Notamacropus eugenii: one gene and its partner. The protein of the gene in region 1 purifies or fractionates together with the protein of each later gene. This does not show direct contact. Links are inferred from orthologs where the notes say so. Each region holds a gene or a part of one and is shown in the gene's direction. Other genes may lie near its edges.

Evidence for each region.
Region 2: the proteins of NES (region 1) and VIM purify together in Homo sapiens (affinity purification with mass spectrometry; 3 studies listed by BioGRID and IntAct, counting the BioPlex papers as one, with this or other methods). This does not show direct contact. The link is inferred for Notamacropus eugenii from reciprocal best matches to the Homo sapiens genes NES and VIM.

What each region holds. Positions count from the first base shown.
Region 1 is NC_092873.1:380,822,905-380,833,454, reverse strand, and holds the start of NES (nestin), read left to right. Parts: upstream 1-6,378; 5' UTR 6,379-6,525; coding exon 6,526-7,317; intron 7,318-8,804; coding exon 8,805-8,929; intron 8,930-10,511; coding exon 10,512-10,550. UniProt on the Homo sapiens protein: Required for brain and eye development.
Region 2 is NC_092874.1:57,865,055-57,875,642, forward strand, and holds the start of VIM (vimentin), read left to right. Parts: upstream 1-5,476; 5' UTR 5,477-5,836; coding exon 5,837-6,729; intron 6,730-7,418; coding exon 7,419-7,479; intron 7,480-10,588. UniProt on the Homo sapiens protein: Vimentins are class-III intermediate filaments found in various non-epithelial cells, especially mesenchymal cells. Vimentin is attached to the nucleus, endoplasmic reticulum, and mitochondria, either laterally or terminally.

The sequences.
Region 1 (10,550 bases):
TTTCTCCTGATCTCAGGTGAACCCTCAAAATTGTGGTGATAGAAATTAAAAAAGGTAGAGTAGACTGAGGTTCAAAATTTCTGAGCTTTATCAATTTAGTAAGAGAACCCTGAAATCTGTTAACAAAAGATTAAATGGCTACCTCAATTCAGCCAAATGACTTGGTTAGGGCTGATCCTGTCTTTTAAACTCGAGTGTCTTTCTTCTGATTTACCTGATTATATCATTTGGACCTCCCTAGGCAAAGGCAAGACAATCCCAACTGGTAGACATTTAAGGAGGTGGGATGAGAGTCACTTCAGCTCTCCCAGGGTTCAGGAAATTGGAATAGTCTTCAGATAATAGGATTAGGCTGCAGACAAAGGGAGTCACCTGCTGCAGCTTTGCAGCAGCAACTCGAATTTGAGTTGACTAGGTGGTGGGTGAAGTGATGAAAGTGTACAATACCAGAGAGGAGAAATAAATTAAAATAATGGAATTGATACTCAAATGACCTGAGCAAGTTGTTGTGGTTCAGTTATGTCCCACTCTTTGCGACACCAATTGGGGGTTTCTCAATGAAGGTACTGGGGTGATTTGCGACACCAATTGGGGGTTTCTCAATGAAGGTACTGGGGTGATTTGTCCTTTCCTTCTCAGTTAAGCGACTTCCCCAGTGTTACACAGCTAGTGTCTGAGACCAGATTTGAACTCAGGAAGGTGAGTCTTCCTGATTCTAAGCCCAATGCTCTATCCACTCTCCCACCAAGTTACCTTTTAAAAATACATACCCTTCTGGAAGTAAGGGTAAAGGGGAAGAAAAGGAAGGGGGCTGAGAAAAGGAAGGGCAGACTGAGGAAGGTGGTGGTTGAAAGCAAAACTTTAGTGAGGAGGTAAAGGGAAAAAGGAGAGAGAAAAGCATAATTGGCAGAGGGGGAGAAATAGGATAGAGAGAAAGACACAGACAGAATCATAATTGTGAATGTGAATGGGATGAACTATCCCATAAAATGGAAATGGATAGCAAAGTGGATTAAGAACCGTAATCCTACGATATGTTGTTTTCAAGAAACATATTTGAAGCAGACAGAGTAAAGGTAAAAGACTAGAGCAGAATATATTATGCTTCAGCTGAAGTAAAAAAAAAGCAGGGGTAGCAATCCTGAACTCAGACAAAATAAAAGGAAAAATACATCGAGATAAGGAAGGAAACTACATCCTACTAAAAGGTACCATAGATAAAATTGTGCATACCCTTTGACTCAGCAATACCACTTCTACATCTGTATCCTAAAGAGATTATAAAAATGGGAAAAGGACCCACATGTACAAAAATATTTATAGTAGCTCTTTCTGTGGTGGCAAAGAATTGGAAATCGAGGGGATGACCATCAATTGGGGAATGACTGAACAAGTTGTGGTATATGAATGGTAATGGAATACTATTGTGCTATAAGAAATGATGAACAGGCAGATTTCAGAAAAACTGGAAAGACTTATATGAACTGATGGTGAGTGAAATGAGCAGAACCAGAAGAACATTGTACACAGTAACAGCCATATTGTGTGATGATTGCCCTTGACAGACTTAGCTCTTCTCAGCAATGCAAGGATTTAAGACAACTCTTAAAGACTAATTATGGAAAATGCTGTCCACATCCAGAGAAAGAATTTTGGCATCTGAATGCAGATCAAAGCAGACTATTCGTTCTCCTTTTCTTTTCTTTTTTTGTTTTGTTTCTCATGATTTCTCCCACTAGTTCTAATTCTTCTTTACATTATGACTAATGTGAAAGTATGTGTTTTATGAAGGTATAAGTAGAGCCTGTATCAAATTGCATGCTGTCTTGGAGAGGGGGAAGGAGACAGTGAAAGAGAAAATTCAAAACTCAAAATCTTGTGGAAATGAATATTGAAAACTAAAAATAAATAAATTATTTATCTATGTCTATATCTTATATATCCTTCCTGATCACCTTACCCCCACCCAGGTCTTCCTGACTCAAAGCCTGGCACTCTATTCACTGAGCCACCCAGCTGCCCACTTTCGGAAATTAACCTGGTATGATTTAGATAACAATGGTTCAGGAGGAAGAGAGAAGACAGCAAGATGAATGGAGAGATGTTACATAGTAGCTAGCATTTATATAGTGCCTTAGGGCTTTGCAAATATTACTTCATTTTATCCTTACAACAATCCTGGGAGGAAGGTGATATTATTATCCCACTTTACAGAAGAGGAGACTGAGATCTACAGGGGTTAAATGACTTACCCAGAGTCACACAGTTAATAAGTGTCTATTCCAGGTCCAGAAACATAAGAGAACAGAAGTACTCTTCTGAATTAAAATAATTCAGAATAATTAAAATAAAATACAAATTTATTATTATATTAACAACATGTAATTATATATAGTATACAAATAATATTAATAAATTGTTGTTATAATTAATAATTGATAATAAATTATTAAAAATAAATTAAAATAATTTTTAAAATAATCAGTTGGGACACTGATGTGAGCCAGAGGCATACTACTCAAGTGCTGGGAGAAGGGAATAAAAGAGCCATTGTATAGAGCATAGGCTTTGGTGTGATAAAGGAGAAGGTTTAAAAAGGTCTCTTTTTTTAAAAGAAGACTACAGGGGGTGGAGGGAGTGGGGAGTCTGAGGTCTCATTTTAATAGATTTTTGGGGGGAAACAGACCAATTTCCATCCATGCCATGTTGGGGTTAATTCATTACATCCCTAAATCATCTGAAACTTATTGGTTAAACTTAACAGGGTACTCTTGCTTGGAGAAACGAGAGAGCAGGAATACTTTGATCTTTTTTCAATGTGTGATGTTGCTGAGTCATTTCAGTTGTGTCCAACTATACATGACCCTATTTGGGTTTTATTTTTGGCAAAGGTACTGGAGTGATTTGCCATTGTCCTTCTCCAGCTCATTTTAGAGATGAGGAAACTGATACAAACAGGGTTAAGTGATTTTGTCCAGGTGTATGAGGACAAATTTGAACCCAGGACCCACTGACTCCAGGGCTGGTGATTCTATGCACTTTGCCACCTAGCTGCCCTTTCTCAATGCATAGTCCAGCTGTCTGAAAGCAATTTTTGGCAAAAGACATAATGAACACTTTCTAATGGAGAATAGCGGACTTTTGGGGAGAAGGGAAACAGAGATAGAGGAGTACAAAAAAACTCCACATGGAGTCTTTTAGGAGTAAAGGACAATGACATTGAGGAATGGACCCTGCCACCTGTTGAAAGCAGTGAAATGTTGCCTTGACAAGGTCTCTGGTGAAAAAGCAATGCAACACAGACTTTGGAGAGAAGCACTGACCTCTCCTGGGAAGAAAGAGAAGGGAGAAAAAGGAGAGAGAGAGAGAGAGAGAAAGAGAGAGAGAGAGAGAGAGAGAGAGAGAGAGAGAGAGAGAGAGAGAGAGAGAGAGAGGGGGAGGGAGAGAGAAAGCTGCTTAGGAGAGACCAAAATTAGATAATAAGAAGGATTTCGCCCATGAGCAAGTTTTGTGTGCCCTAGAAGGATCAGTGTTGGGGTGGGAAGTTAATCTCTAAGAATCATTTAGGGAGAAAAATAGTAAGAACTTTTAAGATCATTATCAGAAACTGTGAACTTAAATAGAAACCCTTATTTGTAAGGCCCAAATGATATAATAAATGTAAAGTGCTTTGCAAATTTTAAAGTATAAATGTTGGCCAGGGCTGTAACTGGACAGGGTAACTTGGTTTTACCCAGGAAGCTGAAATTCAGAGGGGGATGACAGCACTTGCAGTCCTTTAGCACCATAGAAACAACTGAGATTAGCTCATAGTTAACAAAGATAACACGTTAGAATATAACTTCAGTTGATTTAGTTTAGTGATTCCACTAGCCTTCCCTTACAAACATTCAGGTTCACAAGGGAGCTTACTCTTATTAAGGGGGCAGGGTGGAGAATGGGGACAGCATGCAAACAATGATGTACAAGCAAAATATATACAGGTTAAATCGAACATCATCAACAGAGGGGAGGCACCAGAATTAAGGAGGACAGGGAAAAGCTTCCTCTAAGGGCTTTTAGCTGGGACTTGAAGACAAGATGATCAGGGAATAGCCAGGGTAATAGTCAAGAGTCAGGAGATAGAGTGCCTTGCTTGAAGAATAAATGTCAAAGTCAGTGTCACTGGAAGGAAGAGTAAGTGGTTGGCTTGGTTAAGGTGGAATGAAGACTGGAAAGATAGGAAAGAGTACAGAAAAGACTTGTATTGAGATCTACAGAGAATCAAGCTCTGTGACCATCCCTTGACTGATTGTCTTCTTATTTTAACTTTATCTTCAAAAGCTCCTTTTATTTTCCCTAGAATTTTTGGCAGTGCTCATAGCTGGGCTTTAGCCTTGCTGATACAATTCTGACAGGTCAGTGATCAACGTTTTTATGTTCATTCTTGGTTGCTCAAGCAGTGAATAACTAGAAAGAGCATTACACTGTATAATCATTCAAGCCTAGCTATGCCACTGGCAACTAGCTCCAAGGTCACACAATTGCCTTCTCTTGGCCTCAGTTTCTTCTTAAAACTGGATGTGGGATGAGATAGTCTTTAAAGTCCCTTCAGGATCTTTCCATGACCTCTTCCTCCCTTCTTTTCTCTATATTTTTTGAAGTCTAAAACTTTTGGAGAACTCTTTCAGCAACTTAACAAAAATAACAACAAAAATCAGCCTTTATTTTTACCTATTTACATATTTTTCTTCCAAAAGATCATTTGTATTTTTATGATCAGAATAGCTTTCCTTTTTCTTTTCTTTTTTCTTCCTTTCTCCTCCTCCTCCAATTTCCCACTTTTCAGTCATCTTCCCTTTTAAATTCTCAGGCGATGGGATCCTACCTATCCTATCTCTGAGATTTCTGAAACCATCTTTTCTAAGGTCTTACAAACAAAACTGGCTATGCTGAGCTTGTCAGCTCAGGCCTCCTAAATGCAAAGGTGGAATGGTCACTTTCCCCCCCATACAAACATGTATAGTCAAGCAAAACAAATTGCCACATTTGTTATGACAAAATGTATCTTAGTCTGTACTTTGCACCTGTTATTCCTTTGAAACCTGCCCTCTCCAAACCCAGAGAGGTGGTTAGACTTCTTCATCTGCATCACAAACTTATCTATTGTTTTCTTAACTAGCCTATTTAGCCACCAGAGGGCGCTCTCTTCTCGAGAATTTTAGTCTCCCTTCCAGGTAGACTGAAGACTAGAATGTTTTCTAGAAGAAAAAACCAGATACTTAAAAGGACTTTGTCCTCCACAGGTTAGAGAAAATGACAGGAGGAATGAGAGTCAAGTAGCACCAAGAAGTTCTGCAGGCCCTTGGCACCCCAAGTCCTAACCCTCCACCAGTCCCTGATGCAGGACTCCAAGTTGATGGGGAAGATGAGACAGGTTGACTGTGTGAAAGAGAGTCTCCCACAATGTCTCTGGCCCTGTTTCCTAGACTCTAGTTATAGCTGCTGGTCCTTACCCTGACCCGGCCCTTATATCTCATCTTCTCCTGTCTTCTCGGAGTCTTTTCATAAATTATTTTCCATATATTCTTTCTTTAAACTCCCAGAATTTAGCACAGTGTCTGGAACACAGTAAACACTTAGTAAATGCTGGATGACAACTTTCTGCTGTGTCCATTCCTTACTCTTTCTCAACCCTTTTTCATATTTTTCTATTCCAAGAAGCCTCCCTAAATTATCACTTTCTGTTCTGCTTTCTCATTCTCCCTACCTAGCTACCTAGAACTCTGTGGAGCTGGATTTTCTCTCCTTGTCTCTTTCTCTGTGTCTGTATCTTTGTCCCTTAAGCATAGAATTACGGAACATTGAAGCTGGAAGGGGGCAAAGAGTTCATTTTTGTTCATTCAGTTCATTCCTGGACAGGAATCCCTTAGAAAAACATTTCTAACTGTGAATGCTTGTCATCTAGCCTCTGCTAGGAGACCTATGAAGATGGAGAACTCACTACCTTAAGTGGAAACTAGATCCACTTTTGGACAGGAAGTATTTTCTGACATCGAGAATAAACTTTCCTGTTTGCGGATTTCCACTCATGGAAATCTTGCTTCTGCCTTCTGGAACCAAGCAGAATATGTATGCCCTCTTCCACATGACAGAACTCCCACTGCTTGAAGACACCAACTATCAAGTCCTTTTTAAATCCTTTCTCCAATCAGGCTGGTGGCTCCCCAGGACAGGGACTGTACCTTCTCGGAATATCCCCACCCTGTACAGAACTGCCTAAAAGAGATGCCCAATGCAAACGTTGGGCACAGCTTTTGGTTGTCAAGGGGTTAAGTCTTCCCTGTCTCCGCCCCCTTTTCCCAGCCGGCGGGAGTATGAATAGCGGGACTCGCTCTTCTCTCCTCTCCAAGTCTCTCCGGAAGCTCCCCCGCTCTCTTCCTAGCCCTCTCACCCTGCTTCTCCTCCCGGCTCTCCGAGGTGCTCGGAGACCCGCCCCTTTCTCCTCTCACTCGGTGCCCTTCTCCCTCCGGGGTGGCATTTAGGATGATGGAGGGCTGCATGAGAGAGGAGTCTGTTCAGATGTGGGAGCTCAATCGGAGGCTGGAAGCCTATTTGTCCCGGGTGAAGTCCCTGGAGGAGCAAAACGAGAGGCTTCGGCTGGAGATAGGGAGTCTCCGGGAGCTACCTGGGGAGCCATCCTGGAGAAGCCAAGCTGAGGAGGAACTGAACTCTCTGCGGGCCCTGCTGGACCAGCGCTGGAGCGAGAAGCATGCTGCTGAAGTGGCCAGGGACAATCTTCTGGAGGAGGTAGAGGGGGTGGCAAGCCGATGCCAGCAGCAGCGATTAGCCCGGGAGCGGGCTAAGGAGCAGATGGCTGAGAGCCGCCGGGTGCTGGAGGCCGAGAAGTGGGCGGGGGTGTGTCTGGGGAACCAGGCAGCCGAGCTGGAGAAGGAGCTCGAGGCCTTGGTGGCTGCCCATGAGCAGGAGCGGGCGGGAATAAGCGCCCAGGTGGCACGCTCCGCCTCTGCCCTGGAGACCTTTCGCAGGGCTCCAGATAATGCCCCTGCCCCCGACGTGCAGGACTTAGCCCGCACTTTCGGGGAGGCGTGGAGGGGCGCAGTGGAAGGTTACCAGGCCCGCGTTGCCTGCATGGAAGCCTCCCTGGGACAGGCCCGGGAGAGGCTGGGCCAGGCAATGCAAGGGACCCGAGAGGGACAACGAGAAGTGCAGCGGCTGGACGTAGAGAGGGCAGCCCTCCAGGGCCGTCGAGAGATGCTGGAGCAGAGGCTGGAAGGACAATGGCAGCAGCAACAGGAGTCAGGGGAGAAGTTCCAGGTGAGCGCCATTCCCCTGCCCCTCTGCTCCTGTCTCCGAACCCCTCTTCCTCTTTCCCAGCTCCTGCCCATTGATTGCTCCGTCTCCCCTTGTCCCAGCCTCTCTTACTCAGTGTCTTCCAGCCCTGACATGTCTTCCTACTGTTACTGACCAAGTTCTGGTGGAATCTGCTTTGGATTGAAGAGATCAAGCTCCCTAGTCTCTCCAAAGTGTGGAGAGTTCGAAAGGAAAGCGGAATTATCCTGTCTATAGGGACCTGGCCAGAGGAGCAAAGTCCACGTTCCCTCTGTCATTGGAGACATTCCCAATGCCAGAAAAGGATCACATTCTAAATATAGGGCACCTAGAATCCCCAACTCCAACACCCAAAGATGTTCTTTGGGGTATCCCCAAGTTTTCCTCAAGAATTCCCTGGTAGGATGAAGAGAATGGGCTGATAATTTTCATACGCGCACACACACCCGCGCACACACACACACAGAGAAAGAGAGAGACAGAGAGACAGAGACAAAGAGAGACAGCAACAGAGCGACAGAGAGACAGAGAATGCTAACCCTTATATTTCCAAACAGTTTTGCAGAAGCATCATCAACACTTTATTCCCCAACCTCCACCACACACCTATACCTCCGGCACCCTTCTCTCCTTGGTCCACAGCAATTTTGAATTCTTCCCTACTTGGGCAGCTTTTATGGAGCCAACAAAAGATTCCCAATGGGTTTAACAGAGCTCAGGGAAGGGGTCAGGGGACCCAGGCATCCAGATTTCCAGCCCCTTTCTGTCTCATTTCACTGCTCCCAGGAGGGAGCTCCACATTCCAGAAGAGCAGAGACAGCTGTCCCTGGTCTCACACACAGCTGTGACTGACAGCTGTGAAAACAACCTCCCAGTTTGGACCTGAATAGGGAGTGGGGGGCCAGGGTTTTAGAGAAGGACTGGCTGCCCCCTCTCCTCTTCCCTTCTCATTTGAGGAAGGAGGATTTCAGGAAATGTGGAGGCGGGGAGGGGAGAGAGAACTAAAGCTTGGAATGAAAGAAAAGGACCCAAAATTGGGTGTGGGGAGGGTGAAAAATAGAGGGTAGGAAATTGTTCAAGTTCTCAGGTAGTAGTTTCCCTCTTTTGATTTTCCTTTTTTCCTCTTCTATTTCTGTTTTAACTTTCTCCTCTCTTCTCCTTTATCTATTTGCTTTGGTGTTCAATGTTGGAGGGCTGAGCATCCTCACAGGGCTGAGCCATGCGATACATACCCTTTGAGAACATTGTTGAATAATCCTTCTCCCTCCCCCCAAAAAAGAGAGGATGCAGTTCTTGCCTCTGGGACTCCAAAGGGAAATTTTCCTCAGGAAAGGCATATGTAAGGGTCATCTCCCCAGAGAACTGAACAAGAAGGAATAAGCTGTTATTGGAACAGGAGGGATGGGAAGACCTTCCTATCCTTTAAGAAGAATGGAAGGGAGATGCTGATTTTTCTGTTCCTTATTTTGCAGCTGGCTGTGGAGGCCCTGGAGCAGGAGAAACAGGATCTCCACAACCAAATTGCTCAGGTCCTGGAAGATCGACAACAGCTGATGCACCTGAAAATGTCCCTTAGCCTAGAAGTGGCCACGTATAGGTGAGGTCCCTTTCCCAGAACCCTTCTTCCCTAGAACATCATGGTTCAGAAAACAAGAATCCTTGAACTAGGAGTCAAAACAGCTGGGTTCAAATCCCAGACCTGCCATTAACTTACCATGTGATCTTAAACTTTAAGTCTCTTCCCTTCCTCTGAGTCTCAGTATGGTCATATGCAGGACAAAGGTTTTGAACTATATCTCTAAGGTCCCTTCTTTCTTTTACAGCCCCTTTTCAGCTCCAGAGAGAGAACTACTACATCAGCTTTCCCCATAAGTTCTACATCTCTCTTCCCACACATCCCTTCACATCCTTATTGCATCAGACCTGGGTTCCAGATGAGTTCGATACATAGAGGCAAAGAGCTGAGGTCTAGGATGTTTTTGTCTTCTGGTGCCATTGCCTAGTTTTCATTAAACCTGCCTCCTTAGTTTTATGCAGGAAGATGGGAGAGGGCTTATGCTGTTGGCTTAACAAGCTCATCTCCCTTCTGATCTTTGTCCTAAGCCCCCAGGAAAGTCCTGAATCCTGGGCTAGGTCGGAAAGGCACAAGGATACAATGTTAGATGGGGTGAGATGGGAGAGGGACAGCAAGAGTGTGCACATGAGAAGGATCACAAGGATGGGGGCGTTGATCAGGACCCGGAGGAAAGAAGGTTGGGGAGGAATGAACATTGTCAGAAAGAGGAGGTTAGACAAAAGGAAGGACTTCATGGTCAGAGAAATATCAATGGTTTTTGCTTCCTTGGAGACAGGGAGAAAAGGCATATAAGAATGCTTATTTAATTGACTTGTAAGACATTATCTTCCCATTTTCCATTGGTGATGGGGGGAGGTAGGTAGGAAGCATGTCCTACTCAGAGATGGGGGGATGGACATGATTCCTATCTTTAAAGTGACCTGAGTTTCAGAGCGCTTGGAGATCCCAACACAAGAACCTTGACCCCCAGTCCAACTACTGAGAGGAAAGAGGAGAGGAGGCCCTGAGGAATTATAACTTGGGTTCTTTGTAGGGGTGTGGTGCAGAAAGGTTTAGAATTCTGAATTCATTTACTATTGTCTGAGCACAGCTCCCCTTCATTCTACATGGCAAGATGGGGGAGCTCATCCCATGGGAACGGCTTGAGAATTCCTGCTTCCCCAAGGAAGCCCCCCTTCCCAGACCCTCCAGATGGCTGCCTGGACAATGGCAGCTGATTAGCATGAGAATAGTGCCCCCCAGCCTCCACAGGGAGAGGATGAGGTCATGGGCATGAGGGAATAGATTCCAGAGTGGGAGAGACACACAGTCTCCAAAGCAACGTGTGTATGCATGTGTGATTGTGATGTGTGAGTTTGTCTCTATGTGGCTGTGTGACTTTGCATGATGGCATAAATGTGTGGAAGTATTTTAGTGAGTGACTGCCACATTTGCGTGTCTGTAGTGCTGTAATCTTTGTCTGTGGATATGTGTTTGTGTTTGGATCTCTCATTTGGTGAATGAACCTGTCATGTTGGGGCAGAGGGAAGTCATTTTACCATACTGGATTGGTTTAATTTATCAGACAATCGGAGTGACCCAGGACATTTTCTTTTGTTTCTAGGACCCTCCTGGAGGCTGAGAGTTCCCGGCTGCATACATC
Region 2 (10,588 bases), on another chromosome or scaffold:
AGATCAATGTGGATGCACAGGGAACTCATTAACTTAGATTTTAAAAAGAGATATAGAGCCAATAGAAGCAAGAGTATGTAGTGAAGGACGAGTGCAAAAGAATGGTATAACCTGGAAGAAGTGTATTCATTAGGAATGTTAAAGCTCAGAATAAGGGAAAGCTTGCAAACGAAAAAAACAATCAGAGGATTTGTTCTTTTAAGTATGTGAGGCAAAAGAAGGAAACCAAAAAAGGGATATGACTGTTGTTCTTGGGGGACTGAATAATAACTGATGACAGAGAAGGGTCTGAGCTGTTCATCTTATATGTTCAACTTCTACTTTCCCTGTCAAGGAAAATGAACTTTGAGTTGGAAAGGATGGAGCAAAAACAACCACAAAAAACTTATCGTTGAGTACTGAAAGAACTGGTAACATTGCCAATATAAGTAGTCTTTAAAACATCATGGAGAGATATTAAAGAATTGGAAATGATTAAATGTCCCAATTTTCAAAAAAAGAGAACAGAATCAACTCTGCAAACTATGGACCAGGGAGCTTGAATAGATTCCTAACAAAATTCTAAAATTAAAAAAAAAGTTATATTTGTGACTTTTGGTTTTAATAGTACATTTATTTCTGAAAATATCTCTCTGCCACTGCTGTATCTATTACCACATGAGCCTTCCTATGACTAAAAACAGTTCAGTGAAATCAAACAACACATTGATCATACCTGAAAGTTTATACAACATCTCACATCCACTGTCCTTCACTTCTTCTAAAGGAGAAGATACATTCTCATCTCTTCACTGGAGCAAAACTTATTACAATTTCACACTGCTCATGTTCATTTTACTGTTCTTTCAATCCACCCTGAAGGCTTGAAGCTCAGGACTTGAGCTTCTTGAAGTCAGAAAATATGTTGTTTTGGCTTTTTTATCCCTACTGTTATCACATCTCCTAGCACATACTAGGCACTTAATAAATGCTTGCTGAATGATTGACACATGGTTTTCTGGTTCTACTTATATCGATCTGTCAGGTCATATGCCTTGCCATGTTTCTATGAATTCCTCATATTTTTAATTTCTAATGGCACAATGATATTCCATTATATCATTTGTCACCACTTTCTTAGTCACTAGTCAAATGAATGATGAGATCCCAAAGTATTTCTAGTTATTTGCTTCTATAAAACTTTAAAATTCTGTGATTCTGTGACAAACACTGCTATAAATATTTTTGTATATATGGAACTAATGTGTTCTCAAAGGGTGAGTTAATGCACATCTAGAAAAGGGAGAAGTTATCACAAAGAATCAGCATGGTTTCATCAAGAATGGGTCATACCAGACTACTTCTATTTTCCTTCTTTTTGTGACAGCGTTACTTGATGAGTAGATCAGCTGTAGATGAAGTTTTATGTTCTTCAGCTGAGGAATAGATGTTACCTCCAAATTTATCCTATATCTATCTTGTTTGATTTATATGTTTCTTCCCCATTAGACTCTGAGTTGCTTAAGGGTAGGTACTATTTTCTTTTTGGTCTTTCTTTGTATTCCTAGTACTTGGAGTTGTCCCTGGAATAAATGCTAGTTGACTGGTGTTACAGTCAGATGGATTAAAAACTGGTTGAATGGCCAAGCTTAAATGAGTTAAAGATTTTATATCAAAACTAATGGAGGGCCTAAGGAATCTGTACTTGGACCCAGAGATTGTTTGACATTTTTTGTCAATGATTTGGACAAATACACAGATGGCAGGCATACCAAAATTCCAGATGACAAAAAGCTTGGAGAAAAAGCTAACAAGTTGAATGACTAAGTCAGGATCCAAAAGATCTGGACTGACCAGAATATTAGGCTGAGTCTAATAAGATGGGATTTAAAAGCCCTAAGTAGATAGGCTTACACTTCTCTTGAAAATGTTAGCTTCATGAATTCAAGACAATGAACATGTGGCTAGTCAATGATTTGTAGGAAAAAAAATCTGGGGGATTTAGTGGACCACAAGCTACAAATGAGTCAACAGTCTGAAATTTGAATATTTCGATGACTTTTGTGATTTCACTAATATGGGCATTCTCCTATGGAGCACAAGGCAACCCGTTCAAATTCTAAGAACTGATTGAACATTTAATATACTATTTTCTGTCTTCAATTATTTTGATTAATTATGATCCAATCAAATTCAAAGCAAAAGGAATACCAAACACTTATTAGCTGTCTTCAGTGAGTAGAACACCATGCTAGGCACCAGAAGTACACAGTTTAGATAAGAGTAGTACCAACCCTACATCTCTCAGTCTTATAAATTGCTTTGCTTTCTATCATTTCAAAGCTTGTTTCTTTCTCTTCATTAGTACATGAAATAACATTTGAATGCTTTCTGAAGAGGCTTACACAGTAATCTCCCCCAAAAATGTAAGAATGAAGTCAGTAGTTTCCTTGTCATCAAGAAAATTAGATAGAACATAGGATTAGTTCTTGCATTTAAGGCAAGATACATCCATTACATACATCCATCTTAGATACATCCATTTTTACTATATTTAATAAATCAGCAATATTTGTTAGGTGCCCACTGTGTGCTAAACATTCTACTGGACACTGTATTTATTGCTTCAGAATTAATTCAACACTTGCTAAAGCCTGCCAGGCTCTTGAAATAAATGCATAAAAGTGTTTCTCACAGTAATCGCGTCAAACTTTAAGGTGATTTCTGATGGAATAAAGGAAAGTGTGCCTAGTGGACTGGGAATATTTGGTATGGAGGGGGGGAAAGCTTATTGAAGACATGATAACCAATTTCTAATATTTGAAGGGTTGCCACATGGTGGAATGCTTAGATTTGTTCTCTTTGTACCCTGGGAGCAGAGGTAGGAAAAATGAGTGGAAGGTATAAAGAGGCAAAGATGTCCTTGATGTAAGAAAAGCTTTCCCAAAATTAGAGCAATGCTAAAGTGAAATGTGCTGCTTGCAGAGGTCATAGAATAATAGGTTTAGAGATGGTCTTTCAAAGTCATCTAGTCCAACTTTCTCACTTTACAGCTGAGGAAACTGAGGTTCAGGGAGACATGACTGCCCAAGGACACATAGATAGTAAGCAACAGGTATTGGCTTCTCCAGTTCCAGAGGGTTTAAAATGGATGGGGGAATCAGCACTTGTTAGATCCTGTAGACAGCGATCTTGTCCAGATATGGACTGGATGGTAGTTTCTGGGGTCCTTTGTAATTGTGGTTCTGTAATTTGCCAGAAAGTCCACAGAATAAGAGCGGTACTAGGACATGCCAAACATGTTGTCAAAACAAATGTTGAAAAAAATCACAGCTAATTGAAGAGAAGTGGTGAAAAGAAGGATACTGGTAACATAAAGAATGCAAGCTGGACTTTCTCGACCTTTTTAAAAATAATACTGTCAAACCTCACCAAAATCTCTTTTCGGTTTATTCAGAGGTTTATCTTCTGCCAATGAGTCAGTCAATAAGCATTCACAGAGTTCCCAGGAGGTACAGAACACTAAACTTGGCTGAACAGTTTTTTAAATATAGAATGTTAGTTTCTTCTATACGGTGGACAGAGCCTTTACCCCCTTTTCTTCCCTTATGGGGTGATAGATAGGCTTTCTTATTCTAAGGGTTCCAGGCAACCTCACAATGGACTTACATTTCCTAAGCAGCAGTTAAAATAAAGACCTCTCAGAAAACAGGATGGTAACATGGAACACAGGCTGCTCTGCCAGTACAGTGAGCCCCAGGAATGTTCTTTTCGTGTGACCCTCGCCTCCCAGGGAAAGCATGAATAAAGAAAGCCACAGTGCAAGATTTGTGCTTCAAATGCTCTCACAGCTCAACCTTGTCAGCTCCATTTGCCCAATTTAACTGAAATGAGGAAAACAAACTACAGTCTTGACTGAAAGAGGCTTGTAGAAAGAGACCCATAATAAACTTCTTTATTTAACTCTGAACTACATTCCTTAAATACAGGTAACTTTCAGCATCCAAAGGGAAAAAGAAAACAGGATCCTACTTTTTTTCCTCTCTGTATCCCTAGGAGCGTCAAGATGCATTTATTTTTGTAGTAGTCCTTTAGTTAATGCTTTCAAGGGTTTAAAGTTTTACGATTTAAAATTCAAGGGATTAAAATCATTCTAAAACTAGGATAATTGTAGCTTCTAAGCTGTTACTTCATGCCTATCGTCCCCACTGTTCAACACTGTTCTAACCTCACTAGATAGTTAATGGCAAAATGTTTGAGTTCTGTCTTATTAATCTCTAACATCACATTGAGCTTCTTATCATTTACCTAGTACTGGTACATGACAGGACCTCTGGTTTCCTGGATCAGGGTCCTTGGCTCCTATGTTAATTCCATGACTCCCTCTCACCCCCCAACCCATCTCACAGCCAAGGAGCAGAAGAACCTGCAATATTCTACGATTGCTCATAAGCCGGTATCATTTCTCCATATCGGTGGCACTTTTAAAATGAGAAGCTGTAATGTTTTGTACTACTCGCAATACAAACTTTACGTTCTTGCAAACATCCCTATTTCATCATTTGTGGTATAATTGCTTCCCATTTAAAATAATTCATTAGTTAAATCTGGTCTTAAGGGTTAGCACTTCATTAATCTTTTAATGGAGCTATATTTATACCTCCGAAATAGTTTCTGGATATTACTACAAAATGAGAAAATCAGTCAATTCAATTTGCTTTTGAAAGGCTTGTTTCAAAACATGGCTTTTTTGGAAGGGAAGGTTAACTTTATATGGTTTCCTTCTTACATAAAACTTTCTGATCATTTAAAAGATTTACTTCATGGAAGGAGAACGGCCCAAACACAGGCTTGAAACGTGGACACTTTGAAGATTCTCCCCTTCCGTATACCTAGAGGGGATGGGTGGATACCCCCTAACTCAGGCTCTTCAGACGCACAAATCGACAGAAATGTCCTCCTAGTAAGAATGGAGCCACACCCCTTCATCCTGGAGCGAAGCCCTCTTCAGGATAGAAGAGTGAGAAGCAGTACCCAGGCAGGAGGGGGCCCTTTTAAGGGGGGGCACATAGACATCGTCTGCTACAGCTCAGAGTAGTTGCTTGTCTCTAAGTTGGGTAGAAAATGAGCGCATCCAGACCGGAGGAGAGAGTTTATCTAACGGTTTCTGAAGCTGAGCGTTGGAGACGAGCCTCTCCAAGCAACCACGGCCCAGTGATTCATCTCCAGTGATTCACGGTCCCTTCCCCCCTCCTCCCCCTCCGCATTCCTTCCATCCTGCTCTACCGCCTCCCCTCCCTCGGACTCCAGACCGTCCGATTCCGGACAAAACCCGCAGGGTCCCTAGACACCGAGGACGGCCCAGCAGGATAAATGAATTCGCAGAAATGGGCCCATCCCTCTTCTTCCGCTTGGCACAAAGGGGAAGTAACAATGCCTGAACAACTTCATTTTCTCGAGTGCACGCCCCCTTCTCCCTCCTCCCAAATCTCAGGCTCTTTCTTTCTCGCTGCCTCCTTCCCTTATGGCCGAGAAATCACTCTCCCCCCGCCTTTCCTCCCCCTTGGCCAGGGTCTCGCCACTCTGGTCCTTCCTGGCAGAGTCCCTCTGGCTCCTCGGGCCTCCCTTTCGCCCTTTTGGCTGGAAACCAAGGTGCCCCTCCCACCCCCTCCTACTACGCCTCTTTGGAAGAGTCTCCTAGACCTCTCTCCTCCTTTTCCAATGTCGCGTTCTGAGTGGGTCCCCCAACTTCCTCTAAGCTTTCTCCTACTTTGTCAATGTGCCCAAAGGTGAGAATCACCCCCCTCCTGCGGGGGATAATCAGCAGGATTCCGAGCCCAGCCCCAAAAGTAACGGGATGGGGCTTTCCGCCCAGTTTGGGGGAGACGGGGGAGGGCTAAGGGCGGCACCTCCGCCCACCCTGACCCCACCCCTGAACACCCTCTCCCCGTACCCTCCCTACTCTGTCCTTTCTCCCTGGGTCCCCATTGGCTGGCGAGTAGCCGGGGATTGGCCAACGGCGGGGGCCCCCTCCGCCGATATAAGAGTCGCCCACGAAGCGGGGTCCCGCTCTCTGCCTCTCCAGTCTCTCGGCTCTTGTCGCCTTAGCTGCAGCCAGCGCCGCCGCCACCGCCACCGCCCCTCTCTCTTCGCGGGTCGCGCTCCACGCAGCAGCCCTCCAGCCATGTCCACCCGGTCCGTATCCTCCTCCTCATACCGCAGGATGTTCGGCGGCAGCAGCGCCGGCGGCCGGCCCAGCTCCAGCCGCAGCTACGTGACCTCGACCACCCGCTACAGCCTGGGCAGCGCCATCCGGCCGAGCAGCACCCGCAGCGTGTACTCGTCCTCCCCAGGTGGCGTGTACGCTACACGCTCGTCGGCCGTGCGCCTGAGGAGCAGCGCCCCGATCCCGGGAGTGAGGCTGCTGCAGGACTCGGTGGACTTCTCTCTGGCCGATGCCATCAACACCGAGTTCAGGAACACCCGCACCAACGAGAAGGTGGAGCTGCAGGAGCTCAACGACCGCTTCGCCAACTACATCGACAAGGTGCGATTTCTGGAGCAGCAGAACAAGATCTTGCTGGCCGAGCTCGAGCAGCTCAAAGGGCAGGGCAAGTCGCGCCTGGGGGACCTGTACGAGGAGGAGATGCGGGAGCTGCGCCGGCAGGTGGACCAGCTTACCAACGACAAAGCCCGGGTGGAGGTGGAGAGGGACAACCTGGCCGAGGACATCATGCGGCTCCGCGAGAAGTAAGAGCGTGCTAGCTGGCCGGGGTCCATTGTCCCTTTCACCTAGGTGGGGAGGAGGAGGGATGCAGACTGGCGGCTCCATCCCCGGTCTGTTCTGGGGCTGCCACGCCCTTGGGCCCTGGGGTGGGGGTGGGGGGTGGGGAGGAGAGGGAGCCCGGGCTGGGGAAGGAAGAGAAGTAGGGGACTGTGGTCTGGCATCTGTGTGGAGGTCGCCCCGCCCTTCATCTCCTGCAGCTCTCCACGGCTCCCTCTCTATTCTAACCATGCACTGGCCTTAAAAAGTTGCTCGAATGTCTCCTATCTCTTAACTCTCCCCTTGTTGGAGGCGGGAAAGAGTTTCACTAACTTTTCCCCAAGTTTCCTTGCCTCTTTTCCGAAGAGCCTCGGGAAAAAAAAAAGAAAATTATGGCCAGAGGGAGGGAGGCGAGACAAAGGGCAATGACGCCACGGCCTTGGTCACCCTCACTGAGCTGCTCACTTCTCCGAGTCTCACTTCAGAGGGTCCCCAAGGTGCTGCAGCCCCCACTCCCTCAAAGGAGCCCAGGAGAAAGAGCCCAAGTTAGCGGTCTACCCTTGAAGAATTGCTTCTTTCCCCCGGGGATGGGGTGGGGTGGGGTGGTTGGGTGTGGCCTGTCCAGCCCAGTTGGCGGTTTCCCGCTTCCTCCTTGGTTGATGTGTCACTCTTTCAGGTTGCAAGAGGAGATGATGCAGAGAGAGGAAGCCGAGAGCACCTTGCAGTCTTTCAGACAGGTTTGTAGCTTTCCTTCCCCGCCACCTTTGTCCATCGGACACGCAGTTCTAAAAGTTGGTCCTTAACCCCAACTGGGCTTCGAACAGCTTCCAGTCTGTTGGCGCAGCCCTCTAGCGGCGGCCAGGTGCCAGATCCAAGCTCCCCAGGAACTGGGGGATTGGCCTGGGTGTCACCAGAGAATACAAAGGCCGGTAATATAATCCTCCTTAGCTTTTAACTTTGTTTCAAGTTTTCAAAGAACGGGACAGTCTTCATTTTTCCCTTGCGTTCTGAGACGCAGATTTGAGCAACCTCAATTTGAGTGGGATTGCTATTTGCTGCAGTCAAAGAAGTTTGACATTTTTGTATTGTTTCCAAGCCAAAAGAAGTGCAACACACAGTGGTTCAAAAAGTAAAATAAATGTTATTTTAGGAAGGACTTGCTGTGAATAAATAGAATCAAGACAGAAACTAGATGGGGGAGGGGAGGTAGAGAAAAGGGGGAGTCCTATTGTAGAGCAAACTAGATGGGGCATAAAACAAAAGGGCTCCCACACACAACTATTTTTTTATCTTAATAAGGGTGAAAAGGAGCCATCTGTCCAGCTGGCTATAGAGTATTAGTGGTTTCTATGGGATTCACTATGGAATGTAGATAGAGACTTTCTGGGAAGTGGGGTCGCCTAGAGAGAAAGAATAGGAGTCTTTGTGTTCACAGGAAAGCTTGCAACAGGCTGCATTCTTACAGAATATGTAATCACTTTTAATTGGAGACGAGTATTTTATAAGAGAAAGTTATACTTAAACCTGAGCAGCACATTAGATATGACATTAGAACTTTTCAAAGGACTTTAGTCAGAGTTGGTCCTGATAGGACCCCTCTTCTATCTTTTTGTTTGTAATTTCCTTTTCCAGAAAAGTTTTTCTTTAAAAAGGTGTTCTCATGGGTGAGGGGTAACAGAGTAGAAAGCTAAACTTGGGTTTCGAGTGGCATTTTCAAAACAGATATGTTATGCTCCAGAACTTTGAGAAATCTGAGGCTGTATGAAGAGAATGGAAAATGAAGGGGCAGCTAGGTGGCAACAGTGCTTAGAGAACCAGCCCTGGAGTCAGGACGACCTGAGTTCCAATTCAGCCTCACATTTATTAGTTGTGTGACCTTGGGCAAGTCATTTAACCCCATTGCTTCAGAAAAAAAAAGGAAAATGAAGTATAGAATGGTTACCTTGTTTAAACTTTGAGTAAATATATGCACTTTTGAGAGCATACTTTAAGCTCATTATTAGATTAAGATTTTTTCTAGTCTCTCCTGGATGGAAGTGTTAGGATATTTAGATCCAAGATATATACATACATGTGTACAAACATACAAATATATACTTATACCAGGATAAACTGTGAAGTGTAGAGAAGAGAGAAGAGTGAACGATGTGAAATTAGAAGACTCAGATTCAAATCTTGCCTCTGTAGTTTCCTGCTTGTATGCTCTAGAGCAAATGACTTAAGCGCCTTCTGTCTCAGTTTCCTCAACTGGAAAATGAGGGGTTTGGACTACATGACCTACAAAGTGCCTTATATCATAAAATGGATCACAAAAATGAATGGGGAGAGGAGGATAGGGTAATGCAGTTCCCTTTTGAAGGATTGGCAGGAAAGCAATGATCTTGAATGATTTGATCACATTTTCATTCACTTGAGTTTGTCAGTATCACATTCTAGTGACATTTTAGTGGGGTTTTTAAAAATTTGTAAGTCACCATTTCAGGGTAAAAATGCCTATCTACCAAACTAAATCAAAGTGGATTTGTCAAATTACAAAAGATATGATTACATGTTATAGAAAAATGGACTGTTGTCTTTATTCACTCATTTGTGAAGAATGAGTGACTTTTGTCCTATACACTTATAAATAGGTGATAGCAAATCTTGGGACTTAAATGAAGGTAATATGTTTTCTTCAGCCCTGTAGAAGGACCCATGTGGCACTTTTCTTTGAACTGTTTGCCATAAGTATTCTCAGAGTTGAACAAAAAGCAAACCAATTTTTTTAAACTCAAAATTGGATCTTTTTTTTACTTATCCATTACTTAATTGATTTATTTCAATGAGAGTGTTACAAGTGTCTCTGAATTTTGTAGAGTAGAAAGTGTCCCACCAAATATATCTTAAAAGATAAAATATAGACATTTCTGAAGGGGAAGGAATAATCCCTGTACCTGCAAGGTCATACATTCTGATTAGGAAATATGACTGTTTACAAATGGAGTTACTAAATCTGTTTTGTGCTGAGACAAATGAAGGTAAGTCTTGACCAGGCAACAGCTCTACATACACATTTCTGTTTAAGAGTAATAATGAGATTTATTTTAAACAGTCATTTCGAAACAAGTTCTAGTAACAGACTTGAACCCATGGAAGGAAAAGGATACATACACTTTTAAGGTGTTCAGAAAAGGCTGACGCAGCTCAGCTGCCAAATAGATGCAAAACAAAGGTGAATCCAAGGTGTTTAGTTTTTCTTCACTTGGCACTTTTCTTGGCAGTGACAGTACATATCCAGAGCTAGAGTATTGAAATACTAGACATGGTTCATACATCCTAGGAAACAAAGAGGTACCTAAAAATTTATTTTAAAAGATTTGGGGTAGGGCACATTGTTTTGTTTCAATTTGTCATGAAACTTTATGGTTCCATGAGTGCCTTCTCCCAAAAACAAAACAAAAAATCAGTTAGGTGGTACAATGGAGTTGGAGTCAGGGAGACCTGAATTCAAATCTAGCCATGGATGCTCAGTAGCTATGTGTCACTTCATCTCCTCTTGCTCAGTTTCCTTATCTGTAAAAAGGATAATAAAAGTACCCATCTCCCAGAATTAGGATAAAATGAGGATAAAATTTAAAGTACTTTGCAGACCTTGAAGTGCCATGGAACTATTAGCTAGTGTCATTCTTAGATTGCAAGCTTGAAAATTAAATAGATCTCATTATAGTTCATCTGTGGTACTCTGTTAAATTTACCATTGTCATATGAAATTAGATCTTAAAAGCTCTGTGATGTTGGAAAAAAAGTTCCTTAAGTATTTTTAAACTGAATCCAAATGTTACTTCAGTGGAGTAGATAGTACTAGAA